2 linked regions of the Rattus norvegicus genome follow. The protein of the gene in region 2 purifies or fractionates together with the protein of the main gene of each other region. This does not show direct contact. Links are inferred from orthologs where the notes say so. Each region holds a gene or a part of one and is shown on either strand. Other genes may lie near its edges. The genes, in order: Nr1h2 and Abca1.

What was found.
Region 1: the proteins of Abca1 (region 2) and Nr1h2 purify together in Homo sapiens (affinity purification with western blotting; 3 studies listed by BioGRID and IntAct, with this or other methods). This does not show direct contact. The link is inferred for Rattus norvegicus from reciprocal best matches to the Homo sapiens genes ABCA1 and NR1H2.

What each region holds. Positions count from the first base shown.
Region 1 is NC_086019.1:104,180,764-104,185,207, forward strand, and holds the start of Nr1h2 (oxysterols receptor LXR-beta), read right to left. Parts: upstream 3,101-4,444; 5' UTR 2,961-3,100; intron 2,862-2,960; 5' UTR 2,730-2,861; intron 1,881-2,729; exon of another isoform or gene 1,878-1,880; 5' UTR 1,860-1,877; coding exon 1,820-1,859; intron 1,744-1,819; coding exon 1,630-1,743; intron 1,467-1,629; exon of another isoform or gene 1,369-1,466; coding exon 1,078-1,368; intron 982-1,077; coding exon 722-981; intron 622-721; coding exon 442-621; intron 1-441. UniProt on the Homo sapiens protein: Nuclear receptor that exhibits a ligand-dependent transcriptional activation activity. Binds preferentially to double-stranded oligonucleotide direct repeats having the consensus half-site sequence 5'-AGGTCA-3' and 4-nt spacing (DR-4).
Region 2 is NC_086023.1:72,512,773-72,516,578, forward strand, and holds part of Abca1 (phospholipid-transporting ATPase ABCA1), read right to left. Parts: intron 2,889-3,806; coding exon 2,775-2,888; intron 1,342-2,774; coding exon 1,170-1,341; intron 266-1,169; coding exon 134-265; intron 1-133. UniProt on the Homo sapiens protein: Catalyzes the translocation of specific phospholipids from the cytoplasmic to the extracellular/lumenal leaflet of membrane coupled to the hydrolysis of ATP.

The sequences.
Region 1 (4,444 bases), on a different chromosome or scaffold from region 2:
GAGGTGACAAGGTACAGGGCTCTTCAGCTGCCCCAGGTCAAATGTGCCAAGACCAACTGGCTGCCACCCAGACATTCTTAGCTTTCCTTTCTCCAACTTTACCACCCACTGCCCCCACCCAAGGACATTAACCACACATTATTGTGAGGTACAAGAGTTTTGATTCTTTTAGCACTTAGAACTTTATGCACAGTTGACTCTCAAACTTAAGTTATCCTTGAGTTGGCTCAAATATCCATTCCCTTCAAGTCTCTGGGGCGTATTTCCTCTTTGACAGTCCATCCCATAGTCTCCATTACTCCCACCTCAGCTCACTTCCCTTTCCCCCCGTGGCTGGCTCACTGGAGGCTCCAGATGGCCACACCCCACGAGGGTTAGGATGTCCCTGGACTACATGCAGCTCTGACCTCTGTCCTAGAGCCTAGTTCTCGTTATTAGTACCTCGATGGTGGATGCCTTCAGGAGGGCGATCTGGTCCTCCCGGCCCAGCTGCAGGAACCCTGGCACCTGCTTGGCGAAGTCCACGATCTCCTGGACTGAGATGATGGCTAGCTCAGTGAAGTGGGCAAAGCGTTGCTGACGAGCGTCTCGGGACTGAGGGTCTGCACCCAAGGGCCAGGGCTGGGACACAAAAGGCCAGGGTCACGTGGGAACTCGTGTGCCCCAAGAAACCCTCCCTAGCCTGGGTGGGCTCTGCCCACTGGGCCGGGCGGGGCGATACCGTGACTTTAGGCTGGTCGGAGAAAGATCGCTTGTTGCACTGCAGCTGCGCGGCAACTAACTGTTGGATCATCAGCTCCTGAGCCGCTGTCAGCTGGATGCCCTCTCCTTCCCCGGAGCCCTGGCTACTTGCTTCCGAAGTGCCAGGGGAGGCTGCAGGCCGGGCTGAGCTACCGGATGCTGGCTCAGTCGGGGGCGGTGGCTGCTGCTGTTGCTGCTTCTGAATCTTTTTCTTCCGAATCTGCTCCTCAGAAAGCACGCCTGCAGGAAAGACAGCCTCAGTGGTGGGACCCACCCTCACTTACTCCTCCCCGTGACGAGGACCCACGCTCTGTCTAGCCCCGCCCCTGCACTCACACTGCTCCCGCATGCCAGCCTCCTTGCACTTGCGCAGTCTGCAGAGCTGGCACTTGCGCCGCATGAAGGCATCCATCTGGCAGGTTCCGCTGCCCCGACAGGCATAGCGCCCGGCCCCACCATGGACCACGCTACGCCGGAAGAAGCCTTTGCAGCCTTCACAACTGAGCACATTGTAGTGGAAGCCCGAGGCCTTGTCCCCGCACACGCGGCACAGCTCATGGCCCAGCATCTTCGGGGCCGGACCCTTCTTCCGCTTGCGCTCAGGTTCATCCTCTGGCTCTAAGATGACTTGGGGTGAGCAGATGCCATGAGAGATAGCGACAAAGAGAAACAGCAGCCTGGGAACAGGCCATGGGAAGTCCCGAAGCGAGGGTGAGAGGACAGGGCTGCAACGCCAAGGGAAAGATCTGCAGGTCGGCAGGCTCCCAAGAATGAGTCGGAGGTGTCAGGGGGAAGAGGAAGGAAAAGCGAACCGAAAGACAGGGGCCACCGTCTCCCCACCCTTCCCTCACAACGTCCCACACCCCTGTTCCTGTCTCCCTGTCTCACCCACGATGTAGGCAGAGCTGGACCCTTCAGAGCCTGGAGGTGGATCAGTCTCCTGTCCCTCCTCCTTAATAGTGGGTGAAGTGGAGGAGGTACTGGGCTGGGGAGAACCATTCCCTAGGAGAAGGAAGAGGGAACAGTGAGCTTCTCTTACACTGTGGGAGGGGCCAGGTAGGGAAAACCCATCACTCACCAGGCAAGGGAGTGTCCAGAGAACTTGTGGGGGAAGACATAGTGGGTCACGAAGCAGCCTGCTGGACATAGGGGACCCAGCCAATTACAGAGTGTCTCTCCTTCCAATGCTCAAGGGCTCTCGAAACATGATCCCATGCAGCTCAGGCTAAACGAACTATGTGGCTGAACATCTTGAACCACCTCCAAAACCCTGGAACACACTACCCTACGCTGTCTTGGGATATTCCCCACACTCCTGCCTCAGTCTCTCAAGTGCTGGCATCACAGCACTGTGCCACTATACCTCAGTGTTTTTACTTCTATACTGAGCCCCCACTGCCAGCCCTAGTCCCTTATAAACATCACCCTGAACATCCCCAACCACTTCTGCTCCAACCCACTCACTGCTCCCTCCACCTCTCTATGATTCATGACCTCCCATGACAACTCCCGCCCCTCTAACACTAAGAGAGCCCAACAACTCTAATTCCTCTTCTTTGGTGAGCACCAACTGTGCTCTTACCATATAGGTGATCCTAACTTTGTCCCGCCTCTCCCATCAGGTCGCAACCATTACCCTCCTACCACAGGCTTCTTCAAGGCTTTAACCCACCTCAATACAGACCCCAGACCCTACCCATCCTATCAGGTCCCTGGTCCCGCCCCTTCTCACACTGGGGCAGATACCCAGATTTAGCCCCGCCCCTCCAACTCCCCAAAAGCCAATCATAGGTCTTCGTTGTGCCACGCCCTCCACGCCTCTGCCCACTCCCCCAGTCCCCTCAACAACAATCCAGGCCCCGCCCCAAGAATCAAGAAAGCCTTCAATCACGGGTTTTATCTACAGCATGCCTCCCGCCCATGTGCGTCCCGCCCTCGCCCACCAACATAGGCTTCCCCTACGCCACGCCCCGTGGAGTCACGCCCACCTCGTTCCAGGCCCCGCCCCTCTCCGTGCACCAGGGGGAGGCGGGGCTCATGACTGCACCGGCGATCGTGAGGGGGTCGCAGGAGGGGGTCTCCTACTTCGTTACCCTGGAAATGGCTGTGGGAGGCGGGAGCTGCGACAAAGTAAGGGAAGGAGGCGCGCGTTAAGCTGGACCCGCAAAGATCCGCGTACCGGTCCCAACCCCACCCGCCCTGCCGCCTGGTGCACTTGCCTCTGTGTCCGCACCGGTGATTGCTCCTCCACAGCACTTCAGAAGTAACTTCAGAAGCCTGGGAGTAGCTCGGAGCAACAGCGCTTGCTGAGCGAAAAGCAAAAGTAACTTCGCCACTTCTTCCGGCAACCCCGCTGCGCGTCACTTCCGGAAGTAGGAGGGCCGGGAAAGGTGACAGACTTCCGGTCTGCCTAGGCGCCACCGAATGAGATGCCTTGGCCGGAAGTGGGACACCGGAAGTTTATTTCTTCTGGTAGTTCCCCTCTGGGACTCAGAAAAAAGTTCCGGAAAGTTCTTTTGTTTCTTTAAACACATGACTAACAAAGCAAGTTGTTTCCCTTTTTGATTAGTCTAAAGTTCTCTACGTTTGTAGAAGTGCTGCATGGTTGGTTTTTATTTTGGTTTTGATTTTGAGACAGGATCTCATATTCAAAGGGGTGGCCTTGAACTTCTGAGCCAACTGCTTCCACCTCCCCATTGTTGCAGAAGCACATCCACTTACAGCCCAGTATATTGGTTCTAAATAGGTTAAATCTGGAGATGTCATGATGGTTGCAGGATGATTTTAAGCTTAAAATGGAGGCACGAGGGCTCTTCATACCTTGAACTTCTCCAGCTCAGAGGTTGTGCTGCCCTACCCCAGCTGCCCGCCCTTCCCTCTATAATCCAGTCGTTTTGAATACTGGGTTCTTTTTTCGCCTACCCTTATTTATTCCCCTGGCTCACCTCTCTCCCCTTCTCCTTACATGTCCAGGCTCTGGCGCTCGCTCTCGCGCTCGCTCTCTCTCTCTCTCTCTCTCTCTTTCTCTCTAACATTTTATGTAAGTACTCCCTGTCTTCAGACACATCAAAAAAGGGTGTCGGATTCCGTTACAGATGGTTGTGAGCCATGCTATAGTTGCTGGGAATTGAACTCAGGACCTCTGGAAGAGCAGTCAGTGCTCTTATTCAACCCAACTCTGGACTCTCTTGATGTGCCTGCGTCTGGAACTTTTATATATAAGAAGTTATTTTTTCATTCAGCTTCGTGATAGGAAGAAGTAAATATAAAAAGGCAAATTGGGTGCAATTGCATGCCTGCAATAATCAAACAGACCAAAGCCAGAGGATTGCGTTTAGTTGGAGGCCAAGCTGAGCTAGGTAGTAAGACAGGTCATCAGCTCAATATAAATAAACAAGTAGCCTATGCCCCTCTCCCATAAAAGTGATAATACCAGCTTTTTCACAAAAGATAGAAATACTTGTGTGGACCTCAGATGGAAAAGATTCAGAGATTTGTTTCTCCCCAACTCCGACTTGTCAACAGTTGAGAGAATCTTTATTAAGCGCAAATGCTTGCTTTTACTTAACTTTTGTTGCTGTTGGTCTTGGTTTTGTTGTTGTTGTTTTGTTTTGTTTTGTTTTGCTTGTATATTTTTTTGAAACAGAGTTTCTTTGTGTAGCCTTGGCTGTCCTAGAACTACTTCTGTAGACCAGACTGGCCT
Region 2 (3,806 bases):
GTCTATCAGGAGAGGTACGACCTACCACTCCATACCCAAGAAAGGAAAGTCTTTAGTAATACACTACTCAGAACACCAGGACTCCCAGGTCACAAACTGGGGGTGCTCCTCTCTACGTGATTCTGCTACTCACATGTCAAACAACACATTATGCTGGGGACAGACTCCCAGGTTCTGCCGGATAGAGTTCATCTCAGATCGAATGTCCTTCCCCAGGATGTAGGCAGTGCCAGAAGTTGGGGGAAACAACCCAGTCAGTATTGACCTGAGGACAAGAGTAACAGATGCAAGAATCAGGACGACCCAGCCTTACCATTCAGTGCTGCAGAGTCAGGGCAAAAAGAGCAGATCACACAACACACTCTATCCCTTCCTTTCTAATCTAATCCAATCCAATCTAATAGATGCCCACAGAGCAAAGAGGCCATTTGCTTTAGTGAGTGGCTAAGCATGAGCCTATGTCTTAGAGATAGGAGTTTGCTAGGAGCAACTGAAAATGTTACTCTTAATTTGCAAACGGGTGTGCTCCTTAAAACATATTTTGTATGCCTAACATTCTGTACAAAAAAAAAGAATAAGCAAGAACATATTGTTAAAAGATAGAAATGTTTGTGCTGCATAACAGAATTCCTGAGTATCTCAGTCATGTTCATAGTATACTGGTTTTATGTTGAAGAAGAAAGCTGGTCATCCCCAAAGATCAACCTCAGAAATGGCAGAGGGACCACACTACAAACTGTAAGCAAACTACTGTATTCTATGGCCCTTCCTCTGTCCTCACAGGTCCCAGGGAAGGCAGAGGAAGAGAGCTACCCAGGCCTTCTCTCATCTGCTTGAAGTCAGATTTTCTAGAAGTGTCCGTCTTCCTCTAGCTTGTTTGATCTCTTTCCAGTCTCTTGCTTCAAATCTCTGAACCAACGAGTTCAGAAACAGATAGCCTCAGATTCCAAGAAAGCTGGGGAATTCTGAGAACTGCATGGGGAAACTCATCAAAAGGTTCCTGCCTATTTTAGACTAAAGGAAAAACACCTAGCAAAATCTAGACCTCAGAAGGCATGCTCATGATTGACACATTTCTTCCCATCATGCTCTGCTCTTAGCCTTAGGTGTATGCTTCTAAGTGGGGATTTCCTGTGGCAGATCTTGGGAGAGCCACACCCTCTTCTTACATGGTGGTGGTCTTCCCTGCTCCATTGTGGCCCAGGAAGGAGGTGATCTGGCCCTCGTAAAAATTTAGCGCCAAACCATCCACAGCAACCTTCATGCCATCTCGGTAAACCTTCACCAGGTTCTGAATGGATACCCCCAGCTTCAGGTGAGTGGGCTCCTCTTCCATGCAGACTGTGACAGAAGAAAGGAGACAGAGATGATCCTGCAGGAAACACACCTGGCCAATAGAGTGTAGAAATACAAACGTCTATGCTTAGACCTTTAGAACTAGCTTCTGTCTGTGTTCAACCTTTAATGTTGCAGACAAACAGGAGATGAAATATTTTAAGCCTCTTGGGACACTCATGTTGATAAACGAAATGGACTTATTAAAAAAAAAACCATTAGTCTGTGGATGAAGAAAGGCTGCACAAACAATTAAAATACAGGATGCTAACAGACATTTTAGAAAAACATTAAAATAAACTAAAAGTGTCATGGATACCCGTATTATGCAACAGTACTCATTAAGGAAAAACAAACAAACAAACAAAAATGGCAATGAACTAAATATATCACAATTTGAGTGGATCTCAAAAGAATTATACCAATCGAGAAAAAGATCCATCCACTCCCTCCCAAAAAATCAACTTGGCCTTCATGTGGTTCCCCAGCAACTGGAGCTATTCCAAAAGCTGCTGCCTGTACACACATGGTGGGATATGTTCTATTAGCTGGGCTGCCTTGTCTGGCCTCAGTGGGAGAGGAATCACCTAGCCTCTCAGAGACTTTAAGTGTGGGGGTGATACCCAGAGATGCTCCCATGCACTCAGAGGAGAAGGGGGAGGGATTGAGGGGAGAGGTGACAGGGAGGGGGCAGTGAGTGTGATGTAAAAGGAATAAATAAAAAAAATAAAATAAAAATTTTAAAGTTGCATGTTATCTACACTAAGGAGCACCAAAAGGCAACCAGTGGGAAGGACACAGAAGAGAGACCCTGAGAGCACAGGGAGGAAGCAGGCCTCCTTGACAATGTAGAGAGGTAGCAGATCTACTGACAACACAGGAAGAAAGCGGGCCACTGACAATGGAGAAGGGAGCCACACTGAGCACAAAGACACAAACAGAAAACCTGGGAAGAACTGGGGCACCTCTACCTGCAGTCAGGAGCGAGGAGGGGATTAGCACCCTACTTGAGAAAGGGTGGGAAATTATGAAGCCCAGGCTGGGTATATAGCAGCCTCTTGGTATCTACCGACAGAATCCCTAGGATAGACCACCACAGCAAGGCAGATAGAGAAACTAACTAGGTCCACAACGATGGCTAACTGTAGTTATTCCTCTTGGCTTAGTAGAGTAGCATGATTATCCTAGATGGAGAAATAAGGGTATACTGATCAAAATATACTTTGCTAGAAGAGGGGCGACAAAAGAACTTCTCCTCAGGAGACAGATATGGTTCCCACTAGGTGCGTGGGATGGCAATGGCATGGGTGCATTGGGAAAGGACCTACTGCATGGGATTTCTCCCCATCGATTGTGGCTTTGGGGTGATGTTAAATGCTAGACACAGGCTCTGCTCCACAGCGGGTGGGGGGGGGATATTTCTGGTCAGCAGTACTTACTTTCTGACGCACCCTTCTGGCTGGAACCAGGGTGGCTCTTCTCATCAATTTCCTCCCCAAACCAGTAGGACTTGGTACAAGGAAAATACCAGGGCCTGGGAATTCCGTACTGTCCTGAAAGCAAAGCATAGGTAGCACAGGCATGACCCCAGCTGACGCAATCTCAGCGGTTCTGACGTTTCTTAGCCAGACCCTCTTTCTCCTTAGCACGCCCTATGGGGAAGGAGCGGACTGGAGGGAGACAGCTAACTCTTGGCCGAAACCTGCTGTACAAATCATATATTCTGCACCTCTCCATGGCTTCCCAACAACTCCCCAGGTGGTAATAGCATCCTCATTTGAGAGATGAGCAAAGGGCAGGACAAGTAGCTATATCCAAGGTCACTTACACAAAAGAAAAAGGATTCTGAATTTGAATCTTTATCTATACATGCAAATTGCATGGTCAATGGAGGAAGTTCAGATATGGGTTTAAAACAACAACAACAACAACAAAATTACAAATGAGCTTCCTTGGAAGAGAGTCAAAGGGTGGCCATGAGCCTAACTTCACTCTCCCTAAAATCCGTTCTCAGACAGAAACGTATCCTGAAGAGGGGTCCTGCTGTACTTGGTGAAGGTTAGAAAAGCATCAGAATTAACTGTTGGTGAATACTACTTTGCCTTAAGCCATGGGTAAGAGCCGAGACCCAATACATTATATTATTTATAGCCTGTAGTTAGTAGATAGATTCTCCTAGGGCTTCTTCTTCTGGGGACATAGAACTAAGAACCCAGTCAATACTAAGAGAAACCTGCCGGACTCTGACCTAGTGTAGCCCAGCTGAGGTCATCCCCAAGCACTGACACTTAACAGACACATGACCTTAGCAAGTCGCTTAAATTCTCAGTTAAATCTCTCTCTTAGAAACTGTTTACAATAGGAAACAGTCCAGAGCAACCTTCCGAACCAGAGCCCCTAAAGTACTTTGCTCGGCACCTGGCACACTAGGCTCTAGAGATTAGTAGCACAGTGGTAGTGACACATGTGCT